Tribolium castaneum: one gene and its partners. The protein of the gene in region 1 purifies or fractionates together with the protein of each later gene. This does not show direct contact. Links are inferred from orthologs where the notes say so. Each region holds a gene or a part of one and is shown in the gene's direction. Other genes may lie near its edges. The genes, in order: Cdc37, dnt, Cdk1, mitogen-activated protein kinase kinase kinase 7, Cortactin, uncharacterized protein LOC100142127 and Raf.

The links.
Region 2: the proteins of Cdc37 (region 1) and dnt purify together in Homo sapiens (affinity purification with mass spectrometry; 3 studies listed by BioGRID and IntAct, with this or other methods). This does not show direct contact. The link is inferred for Tribolium castaneum from reciprocal best matches to the Homo sapiens genes CDC37 and RYK.
Region 3: the proteins of Cdc37 (region 1) and Cdk1 purify together in Homo sapiens (affinity purification with western blotting; 3 studies listed by BioGRID and IntAct, with this or other methods). This does not show direct contact. The link is inferred for Tribolium castaneum from reciprocal best matches to the Homo sapiens genes CDC37 and CDK1.
Region 4: the proteins of Cdc37 (region 1) and mitogen-activated protein kinase kinase kinase 7 purify together in Homo sapiens (affinity purification with mass spectrometry; 6 studies listed by BioGRID and IntAct, with this or other methods). This does not show direct contact. The link is inferred for Tribolium castaneum from reciprocal best matches to the Homo sapiens genes CDC37 and MAP3K7.
Region 5: the proteins of Cdc37 (region 1) and Cortactin purify together in Homo sapiens (affinity purification with mass spectrometry; 3 studies listed by BioGRID and IntAct, with this or other methods). This does not show direct contact. The link is inferred for Tribolium castaneum from reciprocal best matches to the Homo sapiens genes CDC37 and CTTN.
Region 6: the proteins of Cdc37 (region 1) and uncharacterized protein LOC100142127 purify together in Homo sapiens (affinity purification with mass spectrometry; 3 studies listed by BioGRID and IntAct, with this or other methods). This does not show direct contact. The link is inferred for Tribolium castaneum from reciprocal best matches to the Homo sapiens genes CDC37 and EIF2AK1.
Region 7: the proteins of Cdc37 (region 1) and Raf purify together in Homo sapiens (affinity purification with mass spectrometry; 5 studies listed by BioGRID and IntAct, with this or other methods). This does not show direct contact. The link is inferred for Tribolium castaneum from reciprocal best matches to the Homo sapiens genes CDC37 and BRAF.

What each region holds. Positions count from the first base shown.
Region 1 is NC_087398.1:2,272,961-2,276,213, forward strand, and holds Cdc37 (hsp90 co-chaperone Cdc37), read left to right. Parts: upstream 1-1,252; 5' UTR 1,253-1,379; coding exon 1,380-1,412; intron 1,413-1,459; coding exon 1,460-1,750; intron 1,751-1,797; coding exon 1,798-2,076; intron 2,077-2,151; coding exon 2,152-2,640; 3' UTR 2,641-2,753; downstream 2,754-3,253. Other genes in the region: queuosine 5'-phosphate N-glycosylase/hydrolase, read left to right, coding at 47-943; Spase25 (signal peptidase complex subunit 2), read left to right, coding at 3,070-3,105, 3,198-3,253. UniProt on the Homo sapiens protein: Co-chaperone that binds to numerous kinases and promotes their interaction with the Hsp90 complex, resulting in stabilization and promotion of their activity. Inhibits HSP90AA1 ATPase activity.
Region 2 is NC_087403.1:6,651,320-6,655,550, forward strand, and holds the start of dnt (tyrosine-protein kinase Drl), read left to right. Parts: upstream 1-1,431; 5' UTR 1,432-1,800; coding exon 1,801-1,906; intron 1,907-1,959; coding exon 1,960-2,087; intron 2,088-2,136; coding exon 2,137-2,690; intron 2,691-2,735; coding exon 2,736-3,164; intron 3,165-3,214; coding exon 3,215-3,511; intron 3,512-3,555; coding exon 3,556-3,667; 3' UTR 3,668-4,184; intron 4,185-4,231. Other genes in the region: apolipoprotein D, read left to right, coding at 409-656, 701-885, 938-1,197. UniProt on the Homo sapiens protein: May be a coreceptor along with FZD8 of Wnt proteins, such as WNT1, WNT3, WNT3A and WNT5A. Involved in neuron differentiation, axon guidance, corpus callosum establishment and neurite outgrowth.
Region 3 is NC_087401.1:17,534,739-17,537,617, reverse strand, and holds Cdk1 (cyclin-dependent kinase 1), read left to right. Parts: upstream 1-1,126; 5' UTR 1,127-1,334; coding exon 1,335-2,008; intron 2,009-2,065; coding exon 2,066-2,312; 3' UTR 2,313-2,379; downstream 2,380-2,879. Other genes in the region: CCT6 (T-complex protein 1 subunit zeta), read left to right, coding at 502-653, 704-919; transmembrane protein 53, read right to left, coding at 2,630-2,791, 2,840-2,879. UniProt on the Homo sapiens protein: Plays a key role in the control of the eukaryotic cell cycle by modulating the centrosome cycle as well as mitotic onset; promotes G2-M transition via association with multiple interphase cyclins.
Region 4 is NC_087399.1:3,650,872-3,655,033, forward strand, and holds the start of mitogen-activated protein kinase kinase kinase 7, read left to right. Parts: upstream 1-1,362; 5' UTR 1,363-1,495; coding exon 1,496-1,576; intron 1,577-1,620; coding exon 1,621-1,920; intron 1,921-1,966; coding exon 1,967-2,398; intron 2,399-2,446; coding exon 2,447-2,674; intron 2,675-2,757; coding exon 2,758-2,833; intron 2,834-4,162. Other genes in the region: prohormone-2, read left to right, coding at 1-89; putative ankyrin repeat protein RF_0381, read right to left, coding at 272-660, 705-1,320. UniProt on the Homo sapiens protein: Serine/threonine kinase which acts as an essential component of the MAP kinase signal transduction pathway. Plays an important role in the cascades of cellular responses evoked by changes in the environment.
Region 5 is NC_087400.1:1,549,369-1,553,667, reverse strand, and holds the start of Cortactin (src substrate cortactin), read left to right. Parts: upstream 1-1,499; 5' UTR 1,500-1,670; coding exon 1,671-1,834; intron 1,835-1,883; coding exon 1,884-2,127; intron 2,128-4,299. Other genes in the region: tRNA (guanine(37)-N1)-methyltransferase, read right to left, coding at 1-1,154.
Region 6 is NC_087398.1:655,671-659,943, forward strand, and holds uncharacterized protein LOC100142127, read left to right. Parts: upstream 1-1,473; 5' UTR 1,474-1,604; intron 1,605-1,672; 5' UTR 1,673-1,709; coding exon 1,710-2,814; intron 2,815-2,875; coding exon 2,876-3,081; intron 3,082-3,557; coding exon 3,558-3,887; 3' UTR 3,888-4,270; downstream 4,271-4,273. Other genes in the region: RtGEF (rho guanine nucleotide exchange factor 7), read right to left, coding at 1-250, 365-583, 647-954, 1,004-1,066. UniProt on the Homo sapiens protein: Metabolic-stress sensing protein kinase that phosphorylates the alpha subunit of eukaryotic translation initiation factor 2 (EIF2S1/eIF-2-alpha) in response to various stress conditions.
Region 7 is NC_087400.1:7,671,134-7,675,433, forward strand, and holds the end of Raf (raf homolog serine/threonine-protein kinase Raf), read left to right. Parts: intron 1-2,513; coding exon 2,514-3,839; 3' UTR 3,840-3,979; downstream 3,980-4,300. UniProt on the Homo sapiens protein: Protein kinase involved in the transduction of mitogenic signals from the cell membrane to the nucleus. Phosphorylates MAP2K1, and thereby activates the MAP kinase signal transduction pathway. Phosphorylates PFKFB2.

The sequences.
Region 1 (3,253 bases):
CGTGCGTATCAGGCGAAAAAAGGCACATTTTAACTGTTATCTCCAGTTGGTTAGCGAGATCGAAAGCGGGAAATTGTCCAGTGAGAAGTTCAGTCAAGTGAAACTGCACCCAAAATCCGACGATCCCAAAGCCCTTGACTGGTTATTTGTCGTGGACACTCTGAATTTTTGCTTCTGGCACTTAGAAACCGAAGCTGGCTGGACTGTGGAGGGCTACACTGGTTATTTTGCCCTTTGTGCGGCTATTAATCGAGCCGTGAAGGAAAAAGTGGATATTTTGAACTCGAAATACTACTCTGAAGTGTCCGAAAAAGACCTTGCGAAAATATTCAGAAGCGACAACGATGTCCCAATTCCACTCCTCCAGGAACGCGTCAAATGCTTGCACGAAGTTGGGAACGTCCTTCTTGAAACTTTCGACGGTTCGTTTGAAAATTGCGTGAAAAAGGCTGACAAGAGCGCTGTGGCCCTTCTGGACCTAATCGTCAACAATTTCAAGTGCTTCAAGGACGAAGCGACTTACAAAGACAAGAAAATTGCGATTTACAAGCGGGCGCAGATTTTAATTGGCGACATTTGGGCCTGTTTCAAGAACGAAGGACTTGGGCACTTTAAAGATATCGATGAAATAACAATGTTTGCGGATTATAGAATCCCACAATCTCTCCTATATTTCGGGGTGTTTGAGTACAGCGAAGATTTGAAGAAGAAACTGCAAGACAACAAAATTCTCGAAAACGGGGAAGAGGACGAAGTGGAGATCAGAGCTTGCTCCATCCATGCGGTCGAGCTGCTAAAAGAACATGCCAATAAAAAACTAACTGATACGAAAATCAATGCCATTTTGATCGATCACTTCTTGTGGGACTTCAGACGCGAACATAACAAGGAAATCGTGGAGAAGAAGTTGCCGTTCCACAAAACGTTCTCCATTTATTACTAAATCGAACGACAATATCAAGTTAAAATTGGAGTTGACCGAATCAATGTGCTAATTTATTAGTAATTAATCGAAAATTTCAGGGAGCGGTTGGCCATGAAACTTTGATATGGCATTTTGGTGGTAGTCATGGTTACAATTGTTACAAACCGAACCGTACTTTTTCATTGCCAACTATGCTGTCATGTTTTATTTCATATCAGTAATTTTTAAGATTAATCGTGTCAATGTTTTTAAAGTTAAAGTATTAGATTATGATTGAAAGAATATTCTGGAATTTTATTTGCCCTCGTCTCCCTACCCATGATCCTCTGCCGACGTTTCGCGAAAGCCAGCCAGAGGGCGGAGGAGCAGCAAAGTGACGTTTGTTGTTTATTTCAAAAGTGCAAGTGTTTTATTGTTGTATTTTCTTGGAGGAATCAAAATTCGCATTGGCGTCATGGTCGATTACAGCAAGTGGAAGAATATTGAGGTAGTGAAGTCTGGGAGGAAAAAATGAGGTTAGGTGGTGCTTTGCAGATTTCCGACGATGAGGATGAGACGCATCCAAATATTGACACCCCTTCACTTTTCCGGTGGAGGCACCAGGCCAGAGTTGAGCGCATGGAAGAAATGAAGAAAGAAGCGGAAGAAATCCAGATAAAGAGGGAGGAAAATGCTAAGAAGGTCTCGCAAGCCAAGCAGAAGCTGGCGGAAGCCGAGAAGGCCGGAGATGCGAATTTGAGGGAACTTAAGGACGCTCTGGCCGCGCTGGAGAAGGAAATGGAAGCGATTAAGAAGAAACAGGAAGAACACGAGAAGAAAGAAAAAGTTTGTACGAATGTTAGTTCTTCTAATGTTTATTTAGTGATTTACAGATGGCCCCGTGGAATGTGGACACAATTAGTCAGCCAGGTTTTGCAAAGACTGTTATTAATAAGAAAGCTCCGAGACCGAAGGACGAACAATTAACGGATGAAGAGAAGGAAAGTCGCATGAAAAATTTTGTAAAAGAAAACGAGAAGAATTTGAAGCACTTTGGAATGTTGCGACGTTATGAAGACTCTCGGGCTTTTCTCAGGGACCACCTTGAATTGGTTTGCGAAGACACAGCTAATTACCTCGTCATCTGGTGCATCAATTTAGAAATGGAAGAGGTAAGATTGTGGCAAAAAATGTATATTGGCAACACTGAGTTGTTGGGGTAAATTATGTATTGTTCTTTTAATTAGAAACATGACCTTATGGAGCACGTGGCGCACCAGACCATCTGCATGCAGTACATCCTAGAACTAGCCAAACAATTAGACTACGACCCTCGCGGCTGCGTGGACCCCTTTTTCTCCAAAATCCAAATAGCTGATCCTCTTTACAAAAAATCGTTTGACGATGAATTAGACCAGTTTAAGGAGAGGATCAGACGACGCGCAGCTGAGAAGATTGAAGAGGCCATAAAAGAAGCAGAGGAGGAGGAGAGGAAAGCGAGGATAGGGCCAGGAGGGTTAGATCAGCTTGAAGTCTTGGAAAGTCTTCCCGAGAATTTACGAAAATGTTTCGAGACGCAAGACATCCAAATGTTGCAAGACACAATCAAGGAAATGGATGAAGAAGAGGCCAACTATCACATGAAGAGGTGTGTTGCTGCGGGTCTTTGGATACCTGATGCCAAAAAGAAGGAAGAAGAAGAAGCTGGGCCTTCTGATGAGCAGTCAAAACCCTAAAGTCACTTGCTTTACAATTTTTGTTATTTAGCCTTTATTTCCTAAGAATGCAAATTTATTGTATTAATTTATTAGGAATGCTTGAAGATTAATAAATTTCTTTACTTTATAAACTTGACGTAAACTTTCTTATACCCATCCCAATTCCCGCATTTTCTCTCACTGACTTAAATTAATCATCCACTTGAAAAAAATAATAGCCAAACGAATTTACAGTTTCAGTGGCAGATATAACAATCAACGTTATTTAAAAAAAATATTTGGTAAAACCCGTTCTTTTGAAAAAGCGTAGTTACTTTTGTTCACCGATGTTGGTGTATTTTCGCGTTTCCCATATTTCGTGTTCTGACGCATCACTTGACGTGTCGCAACAACAAGACACGACAACACCACATAAAAAATTGAAAATTTAACCAGTCAGTTAAGATTATGGCCCCAAAAGAAAGCAAAGAAAAGGATGATAAGGTACAGTTTAAATGAATGAACACGTAATTTGCACGCTTGTTATTTAAATACGGAAAAAATTGTAAATTTGGCTTCATAACCTATTGTTGCAGCCTGTTAAAATAAATAAATGGGACGGTTCAGCTGTGAAAAATGCCATAGACGATGC
Region 2 (4,231 bases), on another chromosome or scaffold:
AACTGTACATACGTGCCCAGAGCAGGTGTGTGGGTAGGTACAGAGTACCTGTGTACTTCTTGTTTACATTAGAAAATGATGCCCGCGTCCGTTGCGTATACGAAGGTTCAGAAGGCCAACCTAGGACATTGACTTTTTGCAGTTTTAAGTAACGTTAAGGTACTCCCTATTACGCGTCCCAAATTCGAAATAAACGCCACCAATTGCCATGTGCAAAAACCATCAATGAAATACTCCCTTGTCAAATTTTTACTAGTCTGTTCATGATCACACGTTTCATGCCAGATTTTTTAATGATTGAGGTGATACTATAGGTTCGAGGAACGCAATGGGTTGAGTCAAATAGCGGTTTATAGCAAAGTTATATAAACCAGAGGTAAAAGCACCACGGTGTAAAACATTGTAGACATGAAGACAGTACACATTATTTTATTCGTTTGCTTCGTTGCGGCCGCAAGAGCCCAAATTCCCAATTTGGGCTTCTGTCCAGACTACCTCCCAATGCCAGATTTCGACATAGAGAGGTTTCTAGGAAAATGGTACGAAGCCGAACGATATTTCCAATTTTCCGAAGTCGCCACCCGATGTGTCGTCACAGATTATGCAAAAGCACCCAGTGGACGAATCTACGTCTCCAACGAAGTCACCAACAGATTGTGAGTATTTTCCCCAAATACCAAAAAATAATAACAACTTGCAGAACGGGCGTAAAGCGCGTCATTGACGGAAGCCTAGAACTCAGCGGTAAAGCAGGGGAGGGAAAACTAAACGTCAAGTACTCAACAACCCCCATCGCGAGCGAAACCGCCCTCACAGTTCTAGACACAGATTACGACTCTTACGCCGTTATTTGGAGCTGTAGCGGCTTTGGCCCTATTCATGCCCGTAAGTCCGACTCAGCCAAAATCTTTATAATTACTAACAAAAATGGCTTCAGAAAGCGCTTGGGTCATGACTCGGGAGCGGCTCCCTTCAGGCGTTGTCCTGCAACAAGCCTACGGAGTCCTAGACAAATTCAAAATCAGCAGAACTTTCTTCGTTAAAACCGACCAAGAAGGTTGCGCTATCGCAGCGTCTGACATTAATGCCGCTAATGGCATTACCGCAACCTCCACAATCGCCGAAGCCACAGGTTCCGAACAGAAAAACGCAAATAAGCCCGAAGAAGAAAATCAGCCAGTGGAGGTCCAAAACTAAACTTAAAACCAATATTTATGTTAATATTTATGATAATTTTTATATTTTAAATAAATTAATCAAACCCTACTAGTTTGTTTCATTTCAAATGGTAAAATAGCGCCAAATTGGGAAAACGGCGCACGCAGGCCGCAGTTTATTGATTGTAATACACCTAAAACGCGTGCGCTTTGAAGTTAACGTTTTGGCGGCGATTTAAAAGCGCTACAATCAAATATTGTAATTAATTTTATTCGCCACTGCGTATTATTAGGGCAAAAACTATAAAAGTGTCAGAGGTAACTGTTAAATTTAAACACAGCACAGTTGAGTTATTTCCGTGCTTCGGTTACATTCGTGCTGTGGACAAAAGAGTCGTTTCGTTTCGGTGGAAGAAATAAGAGATTCGTTGAATGTGGTGAGTGGTCGGAATGTGGCTGCTGCGAACACAGACCGAAGACTCGAAGAGGGCAAGCAGTGTGGGCGTTGTTTTGGCTAAAAATGAAAGAATCATTAATTAAACTGACTGCAGTGTGATGTGCAATGTGAACTGTCCACAACCTTTCGAAAAGATCGATCTCACTCGTTTATTTACAAAATGTGACTGAGAGTAATACTATCAATATGAATCAAAATTTCTTGTCCGGGTTTATTATTTTATTGACGTCGCAATTGGTTTTTGGCTATTTAAACTTGTACCTTAGCTTAGCCGAGGTTCAAAGACTCTTAGGTAAGTTAGCTAGGTCTTATCTTCTTGCATGTTTACACAAACAATTTGTTTAGGGCTGGAAGCGGAGCTCTATTATGTTAGAGATGGCAACATAAACAACTATGCGTTAAATTTCGTAATGCCGGTGCCGTCCAGTTTAAATTCCTTGCATTTCACTTGGGAAAGTCTGGCGGATCGACCAGTACGTATGTTTGTGGCTATCTTTGGTCATTAGTTTGATTCGTTTCCAGCTATTGTACACGATAAAGGTTGACACTTCCGACTCCCAAATATTGCTTCCGCCTCAGTTGAATATCACATCTAGAGGTTCCGTTCCCACTACACTCCAGACTTTTAGCCTGTCCCTGCTATGTTCAGGGGCGGCAACGGGGGAAGTAAATGTCACCATAACAATTAGCGTTACTATAACACCTTCGAACGTAACAACACTCATGTTCAGAAGGAAGAAAATATGTACGAAGTTTGAAATGCAAACGAACCACGTCTTGGTCCACACAGTGCCAACATATTCGAACTCAACGAGTATTTTTTACACGGCTATTGTCTCGGCTTTAATTCTGATAATTATTCTTGCTTCGGTGACTGCAGCGTATTATGTGAAAAATAAAAAAACGAGAGACACCACTAGTGCTAGTACCGGGCCCACGACGACTTTCCTCACCACAGGCCCACGAAATACCGTTAACACGTCCTATAGCAGCTTCCGGCGAATGCCTAGCTACTCGCTCATTGATGAACGATCCAAGGATTTGCAGGAAAGGATAACGGAATTGACTGTGCAAAGGTAACCGGTCACAAATCATTAACTCGTCCAAACAATGTTTTGTAGATGCAGAGTCCGCCTAAGCAATGTAATAATGGAAGGGACTTTTGCCCGGGTGTACCAAGGATCATACACCAACGAAGAGGGGGTTGATGAGCCCGTGATAGTTAAGACAGTGACCGACCACGCCAGCCAGATCCAGATATCACTCTTGCTCCAAGAGGGAATGTCGATGTATTCACTTAACCATAAGAACATCCTTAGCATACTCAGGGTGTCGATTGAGGACCACACAGCACCGTTTTTGCTTTATGCTTACAATAACTACAGCAACTTGAAGATATTCCTCCAGAAATGCAAACTATCGCCGGAGGGAGTCTCCCACACTCTGACCACTCAAGAAGTGGTGGACATGGCGTTACAAATAATCCAAGCAATGCAGTATCTGCACAAGAAAAATCTCCTGCACAAAGATTTAGCCACGCGGAACTGCATGTGAGTATCATCACACCGCCCAAGCTTTTGTTTTCATTCGTTGTTTGTAGTGTTGACGATAAACTCAACGTACAAGTGGCCGACAATGCCCTGTCCAGAGACCTGTTCCCGTCTGATTATCACTGTCTGGGCGATAACGAAAATCGCCCGATTAAGTGGATGGCGATTGAAAGCCTGGTCCATAAGACATTTTCGTTCAGTTCCGACGTCTGGTCGTTTGGGGTGCTTTTATGGGAGTTAACAACACTTGCCCAACAGCCATACGTCGAGATCGACCCTTTCGAGATCGTAGCCTACCTCAAAGACGGGTACAGACTAGCACAACCGATAAATTGCCCCGATGAACTGTAAGTATGGCCACTTTTTGGGGCAAGTTTTACGTTTTACGTAGGTTTGCAGTCATGGCGTACTGCTGGGCAATGAGTGCAGAAGAGCGCCCAACCTTCACGCAGCTGCATATATGTCTGCAAGACTTCTACACACAGTTAACCAGATACGTGTAGATGGTGCCAATTGGTGTGAATTTACGTGATGTACCCTAATCGATATAAATGTATATAAGAGATGTGTACCTTGTGAAAAATATATGACTGGATTTTTGTATTATTAAATATAATCTCTTTTCGTAAATGGAAAGTTTTATTCGTGGAATTGTTCCCACCCTCAGGCACGACTAGCCTGATTTGTTTCTGATGAGTTTACGGTTACTTTGGCCAATTCGCAGCAAGATCAGATGGGACATAGTTTTATGTAATTATAACACTCACGGTAAAATAAAGGAAACTAATTATGCAATTATAAATCAAGAAACACTTTTTTTTTCACCTTGAGACTGGATGAAGGAGACCAACATCTCAACATTATTAAATTCTTGACTATTTACTCTGAATTGTCACGACAAATGTCTTCACGCAATTTGTAGTTTCAGTCTTCTTGAAGAAACAAAGTGATTCACATGTGCAGTAATGGATTGCAAGGTGTTGTTATGGCTGGTACAAATTTACGTCCAAGTAAACGTGTGTAAGTGACACTGTTTCCTTAATTGCTTATAATCGAGTTTCCGTTCG
Region 3 (2,879 bases), on another chromosome or scaffold:
CGAAATTAACAAAATATCTAGTTGCTTAATGGATGACGTCACAGTCATTTTGTGACGCGTCTTAAAAATGTGCGTTACTAGGCTTTGAAATTGTAAATAGGGGTCAATGACCTGACCTGGCCACACAATTGTTAATTTATTAGACTCACAATGCGTTTTCCGTTTAAAATAGAGCTCAAAAATTGAATTTACGAGTTGCTTCAACTACTCCCATCACCAAAAACCCAACTTCGGTACTTACTTGTCAATGTTGAAAATCGCCGTTTAGATCAACACATCGGAACACTGAAAGTCTTTGAACACTTTTGCACAAACATTTGCACGAAATAACCGATTTAACAGCGATTTTTCCCGAATTTACTAAGCGGTAAGCGGCCATCACGAAATTTGATGCACCGCCAATTGTTTCGCTACCAACCGTACCAATAAAATCACTAAATGTCATAGCGCTTAATTCAAATTGATTTTGCACACAAAACAGTTTTTTGTGATATTTTTCAGGCGCAGGGGCTTTTGAGGTGACCGCCCACAAAGAATTGATGGCTTACAAGGACACCGTTAAAGGAAAATCGCGTCTTGGAATTGGTGCTTACGCGGAAGCCCTTCTTGTAATTCCCAAAGTTTTGGCAACGAATTCTGGTTTCGATGCTCAGGTTTGTGTGATTTTCTCATTGATTGTTTTATAGTTATTTGTTGTTCTTAGGATACTATTGTAAAACTTCAAGAAGAATCTCGTAACAATAAGGAACCAATTGGGCTTGATTTAGCTTCAGGACAACCGATTAATCCGAAAGATGCCGGAATTTTCGATAATTACATCGTGAAGAAACAAATAATTAATTCGTGTTCGGTGATTGCAAGCAATTTATTGTTGGTTGATGAAATAATGAGAGCCGGAATGAGCAGTTTGAAAGGTTAAATGGATTTTTTTTGTCAGTAATTTTATTCACGTATTAATGCTTGATTTTGTAATTATTATACAACAATAATAAAGGATTTTAACACCCATTTTTTGGCCAAAGCTATTATTTGGCGATCGTATAGTAATTTTGTGTGTCTGAAGTTGGTAATGTGTGTCTATTTACGCCAAAAAAAAGACAGGTTATTGTGATTGACGTGAGTGCGATAGAGACGGGGATAATTGTACCCGATTGGTTGGTTCAAAAATCTCCAACGAACTTTCTCCATATTTCTTCAAACGAGCCGTTAAAAGTGTGTAAAAATTAACAAAACTCGTGTGCTTTGAATAAAATATCGTGTTTGTGGTCGTGTAGGCATTGCAATTTGACGTTATAAACGTCATTTTAAGTGGAAAGTTTGGTTATATTGGGGCAATGTCGAAACAGGGGGCCAACATGGATGACTTCCTCAAGATCGAAAAAATTGGTGAAGGCACTTACGGTGTGGTGTACAAGGGCAAAAACAAGAAGACGGGTCAGCTAGTCGCAATGAAAAAAATCCGACTGCAACCCGAAGACGAAGGTGTGCCTTCCACAGCCATTCGCGAAATCTCCCTCCTGAAGGAGCTCACACACCCCAATATAGTCTCCCTGGAAGACGTGATGATGGAAGAGAATCGTCTTTACCTAATTTTTGAATTTTTGTCAATGGACTTAAAGAAGTACCTCGACACCATCCCACAGGGCTCCTACATGGACCCCCAACTCGTCAAAAGCTACCTCTACCAAATCAACGAAGCCATTCTCTTCTGCCACCAAAGACGAGTCCTTCATCGCGACCTTAAGCCCCAAAATCTGCTCATCAACTCCGAAGGGGCTATCAAAGTGGCCGATTTTGGACTAGGGCGCGCCTTTGGGGTCCCGGTTCGCGTTTACACGCACGAAGTTGTCACTTTGTGGTACCGCGCCCCCGAGGTGCTCCTCGGCTCTGCACGTTACTCGTGCCCTATTGATATTTGGTCTCTGGGCTGCATTTTCGCCGAAATGGCCAACAAAAAAGCCCTTTTCCAAGGCGACTCCGAAATCGACCAACTTTTCCGCATTTTTCGGTAATCAAATCATGTAACTATAGAAACGAAAACAACTTGCATTTTTTTTCGATTCAGGGTTTTGAAAACACCAAGCGACGAAATCTGGCCAGGGGTGTCCACATTACCTGAATATAAGGTTACGTTCCCTAATTGGAAATCATGTACTTTGGAAAGTCAGGTAAAAAATATGACTAGCGACGCTATAGATTTGTTGAAACAAATGCTGATTTATGACCCGGCCAAGAGGATTTCGGCCAAAAAAATCGCTTTACATCCGTATTTGCAAAAGGTTGATACGTCAATAAAGCCGATCCTTAAATAAGCGGTTAGGTTTAGGTTTATCGTGTTTAGTATGACTATTTTCTAAATATATTTGTTTAAAAAATCTTTTGTGTTTGAAAACCTCCTTAATACATCATGCACGAGCTGCACGTGTATATTGCTATGGTGATGCGTCAATGTAGCTATGGTAACAGTGAAAGGAAATGCGGGACAGTGGCGCAACATAAAGCAGATCATTTGGGAACATAGTTTTAATGAAACAATTGAAATAAATACATTTTGTGCAATTCAACAACGTCTAGAAAAATAAATTGTACCCTAAAGTTTAATTAAGCGTTGAAATGTTTTTTGTGTGAATTAATTTGTGCCATTTAGGCATTTATTTAAAAAATTGCATACGCTACTCACGTAACTTTCTTTATTTTCGGTGTAGTGTTTAACATGAGGACTTGTTTCGTAACAGAGAGTTGTTACATCGATACCCAGAGATTTTCGATAGTTGGCGAAATATTCAATATCCTTGAAAAAAAAAAAAAGATGATTGGCTACAATAGTTAAGATGGTTACCGTATAAGGAATAAGAATGTCTTTTTTCGAGTAGATAAAA
Region 4 (4,162 bases), on another chromosome or scaffold:
CCAACAAGAACGACTACTACACGCTGAGCCAACTCTTGAGCAATCAACGCGAGCCTAATGTTCCCCTTTACCATCGGCTAGTTTTGTAATAAGTTTTTAGACTAAACCCGAGCTCATATCGCGTTTTTGAATCGTTTAAAGTCTATCTGTGTTACTAGTTTATTGATGTTTATATGTTTTAACTCTCAAAAAGTCAGTCAGTATAATATTTACAATATATTTATTGAATGTTGTATTCCGTAATATTAATAAATTGTGCATAATGATCTGTTTATTTTTGTTTCAATTCGGCCTCTTTCTCCATCTCCGCCAGCTTCCGCTCGCTGATTCGCGCCCGGACCTTGCTAGACCACTGGAAGATCTTCGGGAGGGCGGTGAGCAAAGGCGGGGGTCTGTAGCCCTTGCGGAAGTAATCGGCGATCACTTCGTTACCGTGGTCCACAGCCACTTTAATGGGGCTGCGCTTACAGCTATCCACAACGTGGATTTTAGCCCCCTTTTCGACCAAAACCACCGCCAGTTCCAGAAAACCGGTCACCGCAACAAAGTGGAGACAATTGCGCCCTGAGTCGGGCTCCCTCATATTAATATTAACCCCGTTCTCCAACAAGAGCAGCACCAAATCAATCTGACGAATGCAGCGGCAATACAACACCATTTCTGCAAATTTTAATAATACTTTTTTCGTTTGGATGATCAAGTACCAAAAAAAATATGGAGTGGTCTTTGGTGCTCGACGCTCATATTGGCCCCACTTTGGAACAAGGTTTTGGCAATTAGGTAATTATTGGTGTCTAGGATGCTCAAAGAGAGGGGCGTATTGCCAAAGCAGTCAACAACATTGACCTCAGCCCCGAATTTTAGCAACTTTATCGTAATACCGTAATTCTCATTCTGTACGGATAAATGCAGGGCTGTTTTATTAAACCGGCCGTAAATATTGGGGTCGGCTCCGTGTTCCAGCAAAAGAAGGGCAAATTTTTTGCAGTCGCATAAGCAGGTAACATGCAGGGCAGTGTAACCGTGGGCGTTCCGCACATCCACGTCAAATTTTTTATACTCCAAAAGGCGGTACCCCAGGATGTAGTCGTTCCGTTCGGCGAGTAAATGCAAAGGGGTGACACCGTACTCCGTGGAGCGAATGTTCGGGTTTACTCCTTTACTCAAACACTTTGTTATCTCAGGAATGTTCCGGGAGTAAACGGCAACGAAGAATTTCTTCTCTAGGACTTTCTTGCCCACACTGCTCATCACGTCACTCTCGACTCGCTTCTTGAAGCCCTGGTGCCCCCGTTTGTGTAAATCCCGTTCGCTCGACATGATTGACACTCGCGCCGAGTTTTGAACACGGCTGGGGATTTTCGAGCCGAAGGTGACACTTGATCTGAAGGATACATAACCAAATTTATGGTGGTTGATATTTATCGAGATTTTTCGTAATTTTGGGGCTGTCTGGACGCTCTGTGGCCAAATATGTGATTACTTCGGTATTTCGATGGCGTCTTCGGAAAATGAGGGTAGCGTATGTCAGTACACCGTCGAGGAAATCAACTACAATGAAATTCAGAAGCTTGAGGTAAAGTAGCCCTGGTTGTGGCCACCGACACATTGTGGTTTCAGGCAGTCGGTGAGGGCAGCTTTGGAGTCGTTTACAAGGGAATCTGGCGCGATGCGTTCGTGGCGGTCAAAAACATCGTCTCTGAGAACGACAAAGACGCCTTTATTGTGGAAGTCCGGCAGCTGTCAAGGGTCAAGCATGAGAACATTGTCAAGCTGTACGGGGCCTGCACCAAGGGCCCCAACATCTGCCTTGTGATGGAGTACGCCGAAGGGGGCTCCCTCTTCAATATTCTACACCACGCACCTAACGTACACTACACGATGGCCAACGCCATGTCCTGGCTCTACCAGTGCGCCAAAGTAAGGGGCGAAGCCGCACCGACACACTCTTAACTCGGTTTTCCAGGGGGTCGAGTATCTCCATGGCATGAAACCCAAACCTTTGATACACAGAGACCTCAAACCGCCCAACTTGCTCCTGATAAACGGGGGCACCTTGCTAAAGATATGCGACTTTGGTACTGCCACAGACATGACAGCAATCATGACCAACAACAAAGGCTCGGCCGCGTGGATGGCCCCCGAGGTCTTTGAAACGTCAAACTATACGGAAAAGTGCGACGTCTTCAGCTGGGGCATAATCCTCTGGGAGGTGTTATCGCGACTTAAGCCTTTTTTCCACATTAAGGAGTCGGGCTACCCTTCGGCTTTCATGATCTTGTGGGCGAAGCACAGCGGCCGGAGGCCCCCTCTCATCAGGCACTGCCCCCCAGTCATCGAAAAACTGATGACACAGTGCTGGGATCAGGAGGCGGCCAAGCGGCCGAGCATGAAGGAGGTGAGTGCACTATTTTTTGAGTGGGGAAAGTCAAAGTTTGGCTTCCAGATTGTGAAAAAAATGGAAGTTATTTGCTCGTTGCTTCCGGGCGCCGACGAGCCGTTGCAGATCAGGGGCGGTGACGATGTGGTTTACAAGGAGGAAATCGAAGAGTTTGAGGACTGTGTGGAGGAAATAGACCAGTTCCCCGCCAGCACCAACGGCGATAATTGTGTCAAATCGCTGCCCCAGCCGAGTGCCGAGATGTCGCGGCCCCTCAACATTAAAATAAGCCCTGTAAGTCGGTTTTTACGTCGCATGACGTAATTGTCTTTTAATAGAAAATGAGTAAAATTGATTAATTGAGTCGTTTGTTGCAGGACGCATGGGATTTACACGATCTCGACATGCAGCTGAGAACCATGCCCGGCCTTGATAAGATGGTACCAAAAAACGGTAGGTTGTGTTGTTCTTGTGGGCTCGTTGTAAATTTAGCCGAGAGCATTGGCTTAGTGCATGACTCAACAACTTGCAATTCTTGAAAACACTCGAGGGGCTATAATTTTTATTTGTCGCAGTGTTAGTCACACACGGACCAATAAAAATAAGATCAAAGCCGAGTCGACTTGTCTGCACGGCTTCGTCGCGGTATTTTTATCGCTTTGCGACCTTAAAGTCGTGCAGGTCCGGCGCTTTAAGCTCGATTTGGCCGAAATTCCGGTTCCTCCTCCTAAATACGTGCGAAACGAAGGGGCATCTGTTTTTAGACGCGCTGACTCAGCGAGACCGATTTAGAGTAGTTTGTTTAGTTGGAAGTTTCTTGATCGGCCTGCCAGGGACGGCCTGGCCCCAATTCACCACCGGCCTCCGAAATGCGGAAAAGGCGGCTATTTGCAGGTTTTACGCGCTTTGAGGCCTTGCCTAAGGCCATTTCCGCAGAAACAATTCCAAATTTTGGCTTGGGACTACGGACGACTAAAAGTTAGGATGCGAAACGATGGACGAATAAAACGTTCTCGTCGCCAGAGAGCGCACTTATTCATGGTTGTAGGACATGGTGCAAAATTTTTGTTGTAAACTATATTTAAAAAAAATCAAACTTTTGCCCCATATTTTTCAAAAAACGTTGGGACGAAAGTTTTGGGCAGTCCGTCGCTGGCAGCGCCTTGCTCTGTCCCTGGCGTCTTCCCCGTATCGCTATTTCAGTCGCACCCATGCGGCCGTTGCCAGTTTCTTTCCAGCGGCTGGTAGTCTCGCGTAGTTTTTCGAGTGGCCCCCGAACATAAACAATCGACACGTTCCTATCGATCCTGTCCGAAATCTCATCATGTTTCGTACCGTTTGAGATTTTTCCTTGATTTTTTTCGTGCGATATGTGTGACTGTCCGAGAGCCAGCGTTTTCACCACGCATGAGAGCCACCGAAGTTGGATCATTTTCAAAGAGTGCAAGACTGATAACGGTAAATAGTAATTGTTTTGATGGATTATTTTTACGTAAAGTAGCCGGGGAAGGACTAAAATAAATTCGGCCACAATCTTCTTAGTCACGTTTTTATTTTTGAAAGGACGGATGTGTAATTAATCGAGTTTGTGATGTAATGGCATGGAAATCGCACGTCCGGAAGTGCATTCGTGGCGAACGGACACCTGGACGATGGCGGCAGACCGTAGTTGTAATTAAAAAATTTTCAACCCTTTGTGTGAATGTTTCCCGGTTCTGTTGTCACAAGCATGATGGTTTTATTGTTGCATTTTCCGACCTTTCCGACCTAATAATCGATGAC
Region 5 (4,299 bases), on another chromosome or scaffold:
AGCGAGCTGACGGTGCGCACACGAAACACATCGGTAATTTTTTCTTCAACATTCCGACCGATTTTTTCACAAAGTGATTTTTTGGCAATGTTTATGAAATCCTCGCCTTTGGCAAAGCAATAAACTACGACAACTGGGTGTTTCCCAAATTCTGGTAACTCATCATTTGAGAATAAATCAACAAAAGTTGTTAAAAAATCAACGGCCAGTGCCGGAAGATTCATCAGAATAAAAACATTTTTGGCCGAAAATTTCGGCAACAACTCCTTAACCTCGCCCAAGATAAACTCCCGCCCGTCCTTATTATAACTCTTAAAGTAATTTTCCCCAACTTTGTTTATTTTAAAGTTGTGATTTAGCCATTTAAAGGACTCGGGATTGAGATCATTGGCAAAAACCTGGCACTTTTTCCTAGCCAAAGGCACGGAAAACGGCCCAACCCCCGCGAAAACATCAAACACAACATCACCACTCTCTATCATATTGACAATTCTTTCGTGTTCAGTGCAGAGTCTAGAATTCCAGTACACTTTCGCAAAATCAAACTCAAACACACATTTATTTTCCCTAACGTGCGTTTGCGTGTCGTTTTCGCCCCTTAAAACCTCCATCTGGAAATTCCGATACGTGTTATCAATACTCCCCACTTTATTGACCACAGTCCGACAATTGGGCACTTTATCAAACAACACTTGCCCAATTATGTCTTTAAACGGAACGAGGTGTTCGCGCAGGTTAACGTGCACAATGTGCCCCACTTTAGTAAAACTCGACATCCCCTCGACATTCGGGGGAAGCACGGCGCGAAAAACGCCCTCAATCGAAAAATTCTCGTAGTTTAAAGTCAACGGCTTTAATTCGAGTTGCACGCACAGGTCGTTTAGCAATTTTTGCGTTTCTGGCGGCAAGTCACTAAAAGCCCCTATTATTTCCGGGTTGAAGTAAACGTGGGATTCCCCCGTGGTTACGTTACAAACCGGCTTAAAATTCTCAATTTTTAACAAGTAATTTTTCACGAATGGCAAGACTGATGAGATTTTCACGTTCTTAAGGATGAGACACGGGACGGTTATGTTTTTCTTGAACAAATTCTTGTCCAAAGTTGTTAACCCAGCTACTTGAGCTGGTGGTTTGAGGTTAGGGACAGTTGTCATGCTTTTGGAGCCACGAAAGTCGATTAAAGTGGATTTAACGAAGGGATTGTGGCCCTAATTACGCGAAAGTAGCACCAGTTGTGGGAATCGCAGGCGTTTAGAGGGGACGGTTTTGTGGAACATTTAAATCAAACGCACGTTTTTGGAGGTTACTTACGTTTTGACAAGTGGAGTAGGTCAATTGACCCGATTTTTTAACCAACCGTTTGAATTATTATCATTGAAAAAAAGCAAATTGTTGTGTACTGTTACAAACAACCGAATGATACATTTTTTAGGGAAATGAAGTGGTTCCAGTGCCTATATAATTATTGATTAATTGATAAAATTAGTTTGGTAGTTTGAAAGTGTCGTAAATTTCGGTTAAACGTCCCGAAGTTGTCTGTGTCACTGGGGGCCGGGTGTTGCCTTTGTTGATAACAGTTATCACAAAATTGCCACAATTCTAATTACTTAGTTTTTTCGTTCCGTTTGTGTTGCCTAATTGGTGTTTTTTTTGAAAACTTAACCTAAAAAATGTGGAAAGCGGCGGCAGGTCAGCAAATTAATTTAAACGACCAGCCCACCGAGGATGACGAGTGGGAGACAGACCCGGATTTCGTCAATGACGTGAATGAGCAGGAGCAGCGATGGGGCTCTGCCACCATTGCGGGGTCTGGGAGGACAGCTGGGGCTATAGAGTAATGGGGTTTTTGGTTTTGGTTCGCTTGTCTCATGTGTTTGCCTTAGTATGAGTCAGTTGAGGAAGGAGACGGAGGAGGCGGACGCGCTGAAGAAGAAGAAACAGTTGGAGGAAGGGGCCAGTAATCCCGCTTTTGGGTACGGGGGCAAGTTCGGGATTGAGAAAGACAGGATGGATCAGTCGGCCGTGGGGCATGAGTATGTCGCGAAAGTCGAGAAACATGCCTCACAGAAGGACTACAGTGCGGGCTTTGGGGGCAAGTTCGGGATACAGGCCGATAGGGTAGATAAGGTTAGTCTGATTGGTTTTTATTTGTCAAGTTTAGTCACAAATGTACAAGTAGCAATATTTTTTTGCTTTTCACACGCTGATAAGGACAATCGTGCTCTTATCTCAAATTACGAAAACAATCTTACGCTGAATTATGATCATGATCACAGTTTAATTATTCAATTAATTCAATTATTGAATTATTTGTTTACAATTGTTTCGTATTTATTTTGTCGCGTTATTATTATTATTAGTTATTTAAAATTTTAAGAAAAATGCTATAAGGTCAAGCATTGTTATCGAGAACGAGCATTTAAACAACTAGATTTTTTACAAATAAATAAATAAATAAATATAAAGAAAATGCAACGTTTTGAAACAGCTTGTAGTAATGATTGCGAAATTTAAGGCCAGCCTACGGATATCTAAAACTAAGGATGAAACGACGTACAAATAAAAAGTCCCGTCCTCTATAGTTCCGTTAATGTCGCCAGAGGCGCACTTGTTCCATTACCGTCTGTTTTCAGAGCAATCAATTTATAAAAATTGTTGTAATTAAATAACGGTTAGCACAAGTTGAATAAAAAAAATACAGGCAGATAGAGCATCAAATTCTCAATAATCGGAGATGAAAATAGTGCAAAAATTATATCTTAAACTATATTTAAAAAAATTTCAAAGTTTTACCAATTTGCACTCTGCCCCATATTTTTCAAAACGCTGCGAATACGGTTACAGATACAAGAAAAATGTTCAGAGGAAAGTTGTAGAGAATTAAATTTCCTTTAAAAAAGTCCGCGAGACCATATCCTTATCTTCAACCATTTAGGCCCCAAAGTCATTCAAAGACGCTCAAGTGTCGGATTTCCTCCATTTTGCCGGTGGTCAAGTATTGGAAAATTAATTTATACCTAAACCGTTGAAGATAGACATATCGTGTCGCGGACTTTTTTGTAGAGAATTTAATTCTCTACAACCTCGCCTCTTTCACTTTTTTGTATCTTCAACCGTATTCGCTGCGTTTGCCAAAAAAAACGCAATAATTCTAAGCGATAATTTTTTGGGCACCGTCGCCTATTTATTAAAACGCTGCGAATACGGTTGAAGATACAACAAAAGTGTAAGGAACAAAGTTGTAGAGAATTAAATTTGCTACAAAAAAGTCCGTGACACCATATTTCTATCTTCACCGGTTTGGGTATAAATTCACTTTTCCATACTTGACCACCAGCAAAATCAGTCGCTTAAGCATCTTTGAACGTTTTTAGGGCCTAAACCGTTGAAGATAAAGATATGGTCTCGCTGACTTTTTTTCAGGAAATTTAATTCTCTACAAATTTGTTCTAAACATTTTTCTTGTATCTTTAACCGTATTCGCAGCGTTTTGAAAAATACGGAAAGTCACAAAAAAAGGTAAAAACACCCGGTATCCAGATAAAATCTGGTGAAAAATTTGAAAATTAAATTGAAAAAAAGTGGAAGAAAATGTTTTCTCAAAGCTAATTCGCCGACTTTTGAACTGAATGTATTTGCGTTTTACGTGAATTATTGCAATTATATAGTTTGTAATGTTGATTTATTTAAAAAGTTTGTGTTAAAATATCTACAAAACACGGTCAGTACCTGGGGCCCGGTGGCCCAGTGGTATAAGCGCCACTTACGACGGTGGAGGTCGCGGGTTCGAACCCGGATCACGGCAACAATTTTTCTATGAAAAAAAAGTGTAGAAAAGGTAAGGAAACAAAACGTGAGCAAAAATAAGAGATTGAGAGAACACATGGACGTATAAACGTAAAGCGGAGCAAAAAACTGACAGAAATAAGAAAATAATGCGGCAAAAGGCATGACGTACAGCACGGTGATTTGAAAATGTCATGCCAATAAACCCCGGCTGAGGGATCGGTAGGTACTTAGACCGCAACCATCTGTGGCAATAAATCATTTCGTCGTGAACTTCCAAACACGAAATAATTTTACTTTTCAACTGCTTAAAATTTGATTTGACTTTATAATGATTTTAGTAATTGAAGTCACCGCTATTTTTAATTCCAATTTCAATTGCCATTTAATTCGCATTGTGAAACAAAATTAATTTTGAATTTTAAATTTGATTGCCTCTAAAGGCATATTTGAGAATAGTGCAAATAAATTATAAATTAATTAATTACAATCAAACATCTGATTAACTGATCA
Region 6 (4,273 bases), about 1.6 Mb from region 1:
TAGTACTTGGAGTTCGAGTTCTTTTTGGCGACGTGTTGCAGCACAAGTTGTGGCGATGTCTTTGTAGACGGCGACTGAGCGTTGGGTATCACCTCGGTCAGGATGGCATTCTTCGACATGACGTTCAAGTTCTTGAAGCATGCCCGAGTATTTATCAAGACGACGGAAGGGCTTACTGAGGAGGACTGTCAAGACAAGGACGCCCGGGCTGGTGGCGCCTCGAGATTCCATGTACTTTGTCAACTCCTCTCTAAGGACAAAAAACATTTTTTTCGAATTTAATGACTATGAGACGATATCCAGAAACAACCCATTTTATTAAATTTTTTGAGTTTATATATTTAGAATCAATCGTTACTCTTACTTGTACTGATCTAGGATGCAGGCGGCTTTGGGATGGTGGGCACAATAGGCCTGATTAACAGCCTTAATCCTGCGGGCCCATGTGAGAAAAAGGCGCCCCACTCTCTGTTCCAGGCCCGGCTTGGCCTGTTCCGCCTCCATCAGCTTCAACAACTGCTGATGCGTATCAAGGACTTCAGCGATATTCCCAGTCAACTGTTTGTACTCATCATTGGTCAATCTGCAAACAGCTGTCTTGTATTTTTACGTTCCATAAATATCGATTTCCGCTGATTATAATTACATGGCGCTTTTTTCCAGCGGTTGTAAAAAGTTCGTGACTAAACTTTCAAGTTCGGTGACGTGCGCCTTCTCCGAATCGATCAAGTCTTTCAAAACCACGCTTTTGTACTGATTTTGTTGCACAACCACCGGCTTTGGGGCATCTAAAATAAAAAATTCGCAACAATTGATTAATTTTCGCGTGTTGTAACCTTTGGATTCCTTGACGTAATTGCTGGGGAACCAGCCTGTTTTCCCGTTGAAGGTGCCTTCCCACCACCCGTCGTCCTTCTGGGTGACTGTGATCAGGTCGCCCTTCTTGAAGCACAACTAAAACCACTGTGCTCACACACCTGGACTAGGGAAAATTCTAACTTACCTCATCGTTATTCGATCCTTTGAACGGATAAATGGCCTGGACTACCAGCGGTTCAGTGGCCATCGTGGTCTCACATGTGTACCTAAATCAGTAATTGTATTTTTATGGATCACTGACGCGATTAAACGGTGCCGCAAAACTGGTCATGATGAAAAATAATTTTTGAGTACTGTCACATTCTTGGCATACACTTAGCTTTGAAGATAATTCTGGAACGCGGCCAAAAATGTAAAACGCAACGATTTTAGCCCCAATGATAGGCGACAGGACAGGAAATGCCCACACAGACACACAATTCTAACTAATAACAAATTCGAAAGTTTCGATTTTGAGCGTTATTATTACCTGTCTATAGCCCACTCTCGACTCGCACACCCGTTTTTATTGCCCCCAATAAAAATTCACAGAAGATAAATTTACAAAACCCAAAAAACCGTCTGTTTTCCTGTCAAATTCGGTCGGTAATGCAGGCGGGCGCCAGTCGGCCAACAAAAACTACCAAAATTCACTGTGCAACTGTCATCGAACAGATGGACATGTCGTAATTTCACCTCGAAGGTTTTTGTTGTGTGTTACAAGTTGTGACTTGTCTGCTGGTTATGTATGTTCAAAATCACTCGTTTGTGTAACATTTTGCCTAAATTCCGCTTAATTTTTTGTAAATTTAAGGTGTTTGTGAGTGACATTCTGGAAGATTCCGTGCAAGATGGCAAAATCTGGTATGTCAGAATCGGACGTTGACAGTGGAAATAACGGGGCCAAATCGATGGAAAACCACGAAACTAAACCCAAAACCTCCTTAAAGCTTGTAACGAAACGGCCAAGTGTCTCAACCCCCATCAGCATCCTGATCGAGAGCTTGGTCAAGAATCTGTGCACCATCTACGAAACGGACGCGGAAAAAGTCTCAAAAATGTACAATCTGATCTGCAACCGCCTGTTCCAAATGAATCTGATTGATGAAAGCTACCACATGGATGAGTTTGAAGGCATGCGGGCGGCCTACCAACAGGCCTTCCACCACTTGTTGAAAACTTCAATGGGGGGCGAAAACGCCGTGACTTTGCGCCCAGTTTGGCCAAACACTGACTTGATAAATTCGCACTATTGTCAAGAATTTGACGAGATTGAGTACATAGCTGGGGGCGGCTTTGGCCAGGTTTACCGCGTCAAACACAAACTAGACGGGACTGAATACGCAGTTAAGAAAATTCCAATCAGAGCTGAGGGGATCGAAGCCGTCCGGAACTATCTATCGGAGGTGAAAACCTTCGCTAGTGTTAACCATGCCAATATCGTACAGTACAAAGCGGCCTGGCTTGAGCTGGGGGCCCCCACTGGGGGTAATGCAATTACGGACGAAACCGAATCATATACTGAAGAAATGAAATCGCACATTGACGCCGAATACATCTATCACGAAACGCCAAGACACTCGTTTTCCGACGAGGTTAAATCAGAGGATACGTCCGATTTTGAAGTTAACTTCGAGCATAGCATTAGTAGCGTTACAAACCGGTCGAAAAACTCGCGAAAACGTGTCAAACGGAACAGTGTTTCGGAGGGCGGGAAAGCCATTTGTAAGTTGGACTTGAAGGAAATAAGGGAGTTGAAAATGCAGCAAAGGGCCAACGTGAAATGGGCCACTCTTTACATACAAATGGCCCTATGTCAATCCACTCTGAAACAGTGGCTAGAGAGGCGAAATGACGCCGAATTGTTGGTCGAAGACGCTGATAAAGCCCTACTTCCCGTCACAGGGCATGTGAGAAACGAGACGATTTACGAGGTTTTGAGGCAGTTACTTAAAGGTAACGTTGAGTAATGTGATTACAATTACAATTGTGTGAATTACAATCGTGTCTTGTCTAGGGTTGGAATATATTCATTCCAAGGGAATCGTTCATCACGATATTAAGCCGAGCAATATTTTCATTCAGATTGAAAACGGCAATTTGTTGGTACAGTTGGGTGATTTTGGTTTGGCGTGTCCTTTGCAGAATGTGAGGCATAGTTTGGCGTTTGGTACGAAACTTTACGCGGCGCCTGAACAACTTGATGGTAAATGTGATCCAAAGGTAAGGGCAAATATTGGTTTTGTTGGGGTAAACAAGGCAACAAGTGTTTAAAATAATTAATGCGTAATAGATTACGTGAGAACAAACAAAATAAAGTGTTTGCTGATTCACGGTTTTATCTTATCCTCTTAAATAAGTCTTGAAATTTTTATTGGTCAGTAAACTACGAGTATCGGGGGGCTTATTTTTATGGCGACTGTGATTTAAACAATCGTAACACTTGAAACACAGATGAACTTGATATTTTTCAAGACAGTATGGTCGAAAAATACAAAAATAAAAACTTTACCGTTAAAGATAGCCAACTGTTTGAAGGAAATTTTGATTCTTTTCACTTTCTTCATAACTTTGAGTCTTATGTTTTCTATTATCTTAAGAATGTTTGTTATTTTATTTTTCTCTTGTTCTTACGCTCTGTACTAAATTTTAAGTTTTCAATTTTTCGATTATGTTTTTTAAATAATGGCGTTTTTTAGAGTGATATGTATTCCCTGGGAATCGTCCTATTCGAGCTAGTCGAGCGGTTCCGCACCGACATGGAGCGGGTCCAGTACATTGATGACTTAAGGAAAGGCAAATTGCTGACACACGTCCACGTCCAACATCCACAATTGGCTCAAATAATTTGCCAGTTGATGGTAAAATACCCACAAGATAGACCGGACGCTAGTACGTTGCTCAAATCAATAACTCATAATTCTGACGCCGATTATGTGAGAGAATTAGAGTGTAAGCTAGCGGAACGAGACGAAGAAATTTTAAGACTCAAAGAACTACTCAAATCTGCAGGTGTTAAAAGTATCTAATTAAGGAATGGCAAATAAACTTGTTTTATAATAATAGAGGATTATTTTAAGTTTTTTGCACCATTGTCATGTGGTGAAAGACTCTGATGTTCTGGAATGAGTTAATCAGTATTTTCTTACTTAATTATGGTTAGCCAGATTGGGTTGCTTGGTGGCTAAAATGCACGTTTTACTGCCATTTTACTGTGCATTTACGAATTTTCTGAGTCGTCAATAACTAGTTTTAATTGTGTGGCGTAAGAGAGTAGAGTGATTGGAGTGTGTTTTGTACAATTTTTGAATTATTTATTGTACATTTCCATGACTGATGAACATGAAGCGTTTTCATGTATAAATCGAAAATTGTGATACGAAAATTTGAAATAAATATTTTTTAAAAAGTTGCA
Region 7 (4,300 bases), on another chromosome or scaffold:
AAATAATGTTCAACTTATAAAATTGGTTTTTATTTTTTATCACGTATGCTTTGAAAAAATTTAAAAAAGAAATAGTGCGTTGTATTGCTTGCGAAAAAGGCTTTCATACGAGGTGTCACTTGGCATACCATTAACATTTGAACAAGAAGTTAGAGGTGGCTGTGCATTTCTGACAGCAGATAAACAAAAACCATATGCATCAAATAGTAGGCAAGGAAACATAAAAATTGACCTGCTTCGGGAATTTTTACCAAAATCGCCTTAAATCAAAGTTATGATTTATATTCCAGCTGTATATTTTGCTTTAAGTAATCGTCTTTTACAAGATTGCAATGGAAGTTTTTCAACACTAGCTTAAATATCCTTATTAACTTTTAAAAGTTGTTATTATTAACGCACTATAAGTGAAGCGCATAAATCTGGCGAATCAAGAAATTAGTTTGTTTTATTAAAAACGGTAAACAGCTGGATTGAAAAGGCATAAGATTCATCGTAGCCGTGTTTATTTGAGCATGAATAAAGCCAGAGCGCATAGGTGTCGGTTGACTAATTACTGCAAATTGCTGTGAATTCAACGATCCAGTTTGTTTACGAACATTCGCAAAATGATTAAAATAACGTCGCGAGAAAATACTTCTCGTATTGCAAAAGGTAACGACGACAAATAATAATCGCAAATCTACTGTTGTTTTAGTAATTTGTATGACATTTTCAAAAATACGTAACATACTTAGTTGAATGTTCTAGTTGCACATGTTGATGGAAAAAATATCAAACTGAAAGCTGTATTAATTTGATTCATTAAAATGTTCCTAATTAGCAGCACGAGTTTATAAATCTGAGTTAAATTTACTCTAGATTGTTATGTAGCTATGCAGTATTGACATAAAAAGTGTCTTTATTTCATTTCTGCATTTTAATGTGCAAAAATTCAAAAAACTGAAAGCTGTATTAATTTGATTCATTAAAATTTTCCTAATTGGCAGCACGAGATTATAAATCCGAGTTAAATTTACTCTAGATTGGTATGTAGCTATGCAATATGAAAATAAAAAAGTGTGTTTACTTCATTTTAATGTGACAGAAAAAAAAAGAAAACACGGTAAAAAAAATTGGAAAAGTTGAAACAAAATAAAACACTTTCGTGACATGAAATTCTTTGGGAAATTTCATTGGTTATTTCTATTCTTCCTACTGGACTTTTCTTTGTATTTTCTTGTAATTCATCCTTGTTTTTTCTCTCTCTCTCTTCAGTCAGGCATATTTGAAAATATACAGCGTGCTCAAAAACTGGCGCACCAACTCAATGGTGTGTGGTAGATAAGTGGTTACATATAAAGGTAAAAGTAGTAAAAAAATTCTTTGTATTAAAGTTATTGATAAATAACTAATTTTAGGTAAATGATATGTGGCAACGTTGTCTAACAGTCATGATCGCAATAAAAATAAATTATTTTTGAAACGGTTTCCTAGGAAATAATTCCCAGTGTTGGCACATCTACAGATTGTGATTTTTTGGATGAAATTTAATTTTTTTAAATTAAAAAAACTGCTAAAATCTTATAGTAAATTTTAAAATAATTATTCATCGTTTTGTTACGGAACGATTACCTGGTGTGAAACATAAAAACATAAAAAAATAATGAAAACTAAAGAAGTTAACACAATAAGTTTGTAGCTCCAGATTTTTTAAAATATAACTTTAGCAATTTTTTCAACATTTTTCCCGTAATCTGCACTTGCTTCTCAATAACGTACCACTGAGTTGGTGCGCCAGTTTTTGAGCACCCTGTATTAATAAATCTAAGTTAAACAATAATAAATTACGCATTTTCTTTATTTTTTATAAAATAAATTCAAAGTTAATATCGGCATCAATTTAGATATCAATCGGTGGTGATAAAGCCATGGAATGTTTCAAATACATGAAAATCATGCAATAAACTTTAGATAAGAAAATGCATTGTGTTTTATTGTTTTCCAAAATGTTCCAAATGTTACATTTGGATTTGTATGACGAGAATATTCGCATTTTTTGGAGATTCTTCTCAATACAATTTTTGTTTGTTTTAACTTCTAGTGTTTTCTTTTTACTTTACGTCTTTGGAAGTTTGAATTTCTCTTTAATTTTTTTGAAAAATTGTTCGCTTTTTCGGAATTCGTCCTTTACAAAATCCCTGACTAGGTTTTTGTAATTTTTTTGAATTTGGCTTAATTTAGAAGTTTTTTCCTACGCAATTAAACAATGTGGAGTTATTTTTGAAAGTGTCGTAACATTCACTATTTGAATCTCGCAAAATTCCTGATTCTCCCTGGACTTTTTTTGTTTTGGAAATATTTATCGGAAGTTGGATGATTGCCGAATTTACTAAATAAACGTGGACTAGTCTGTGGCATTATCCAAAGTAAAATAAAGAAATGGAATGCAAAATTTTGCTTTTCGGAATGATTTGCTGCATTTTCTCCCATCCCTTGCGTTTTGACGTCGAACCAAAAATATCTCGCTTCCCCAGGTTCGTATGACGGACGCCTACTACCGGGCGCTCCTCGCCCGCTCTCCGGACTTCAGCGCGGGCATCCTGCACCCAGGTCAGGCCGGCCTGGGGCTCTCCCGCCAGCCGCGCCACCCTGGCACCCTCGGCCACCACGACCGCTCCAGCTCCGCCCCCAACGTCTGCCTCAACAACGTGAAGGGCCCCGGCGACGACTGCCCCAAGTCCCTCAGTCTGACCCGGGGCGGCATCGACGACGGCCTCCCCCACTACCACAGCACCCAGGCCTCGCCCACCGGCTCCCTCCAGCCGCGCCGACCCCGTGCTCGCTCCGCCGACGAGAGCAAGCCCCTCCTCGCCCCTCGCGAGAGCATCGAGGATTGGGAGATCCCCGCCGACGAGATCCTCGTCGGCCATCGGGTCGGCTCGGGCTCCTTCGGCACGGTCTACAAGGCCCATTGGCACGGCCCGGTCGCTGTCAAGACGCTCAACGTTAAAATACCAACGTTGGCACAACTGCAAGCCTTCAAGAACGAGGTGGCAGTACTGCGCAAAACGCGACACGTGAACATTTTATTGTTCATGGGGTGTGTTAGTAAGCCGCAGTTGGCGATCGTGACGCAATGGTGCGAGAGTTCGAGCTTGTACAAGCATCTCCACGTGCACGAGACGAAATTCGCGCTTTTTACTTTGATCGAAATCGGGAGACAAACGGCACAAGGAATGGACTACCTCCATGCGAAAAATATCATCCATCGAGATCTCAAATCGAATAATATTTTCCTACACGATGACCTAACCGTCAAAATCGGCGATTTCGGCTTAGCCACGGCCAAGATCCGTTGGTCGGGCTCCAAGCAGTTCCACCAGCCGACGGGGAGCATCCTCTGGATGGCGCCAGAAGTGATCCGGATGCAGGAGGACAACCCGTACAGCTTCCAGTCGGACGTTTACGCGTTCGGGATCGTTATGTTCGAGATGTTGGCAATGCAATTGCCCTACTCCCACATCAACAACAAGGACCAAATCCTGTTCATGGTGGGGAGGGGGTACCTCAAACCAGACATGAGTAAACTACGCTCCGACACACCCAAAGCTTTAAGACGACTCACTGAAGACTGTATCAAGTTCAATCGGGACGAGAGACCGCTTTTCAGGCAGATTCATGCCTCGTTGGAGGGACTTTTGAGGAGTCATCCGAAAATTAACAGATCGGCGTCCGAACCGAACATGAATCGGACGCAGATCCAGTCTGATGATTTTATTTATCCGTGTGCTAGTCCGAAAACACCGGTGGCGTTCGGACCGTCGAGTTTTTTTTATTCGGGAGGAACGGGTAATATCTGAGGGGAGGGCGCCAAGAGGGACGTTTAGGACGAGTGAGAGTGCGTGATACGGCTTGAGTAGAGGTTATCATTAAGTTATTGTCAAGTATTTAAATTTAAATATTGTTTTGTTTTCGTATTAAATAAATTCTTAAAAAAATATACTGCGTTTACTTATTTCCATCCCATCCTACGAAATTCGAAGATTCTGAAAATCTATCTTTGCTTTCCAAATTCAGTGTTCCAACCTTTGACTGGACTGAAAAGTCAAGACTTTGGAAACTTTTTGTTGAAATCCGAAAAAAAACTGATAAAATTTTCGATTCAATTTTATTTCGTATTCCTGGTTTTGGACCAGGGTACAGAATTTAAGTTTCAAATTAAATAAGTTCATAAAACTGTAGTGATTGTTTTTTCTTATTTGGATTATTTCCTGTCTCCCCATTAAAAACATGTTGAATAATGTTTGTCGCAACAGTAAAT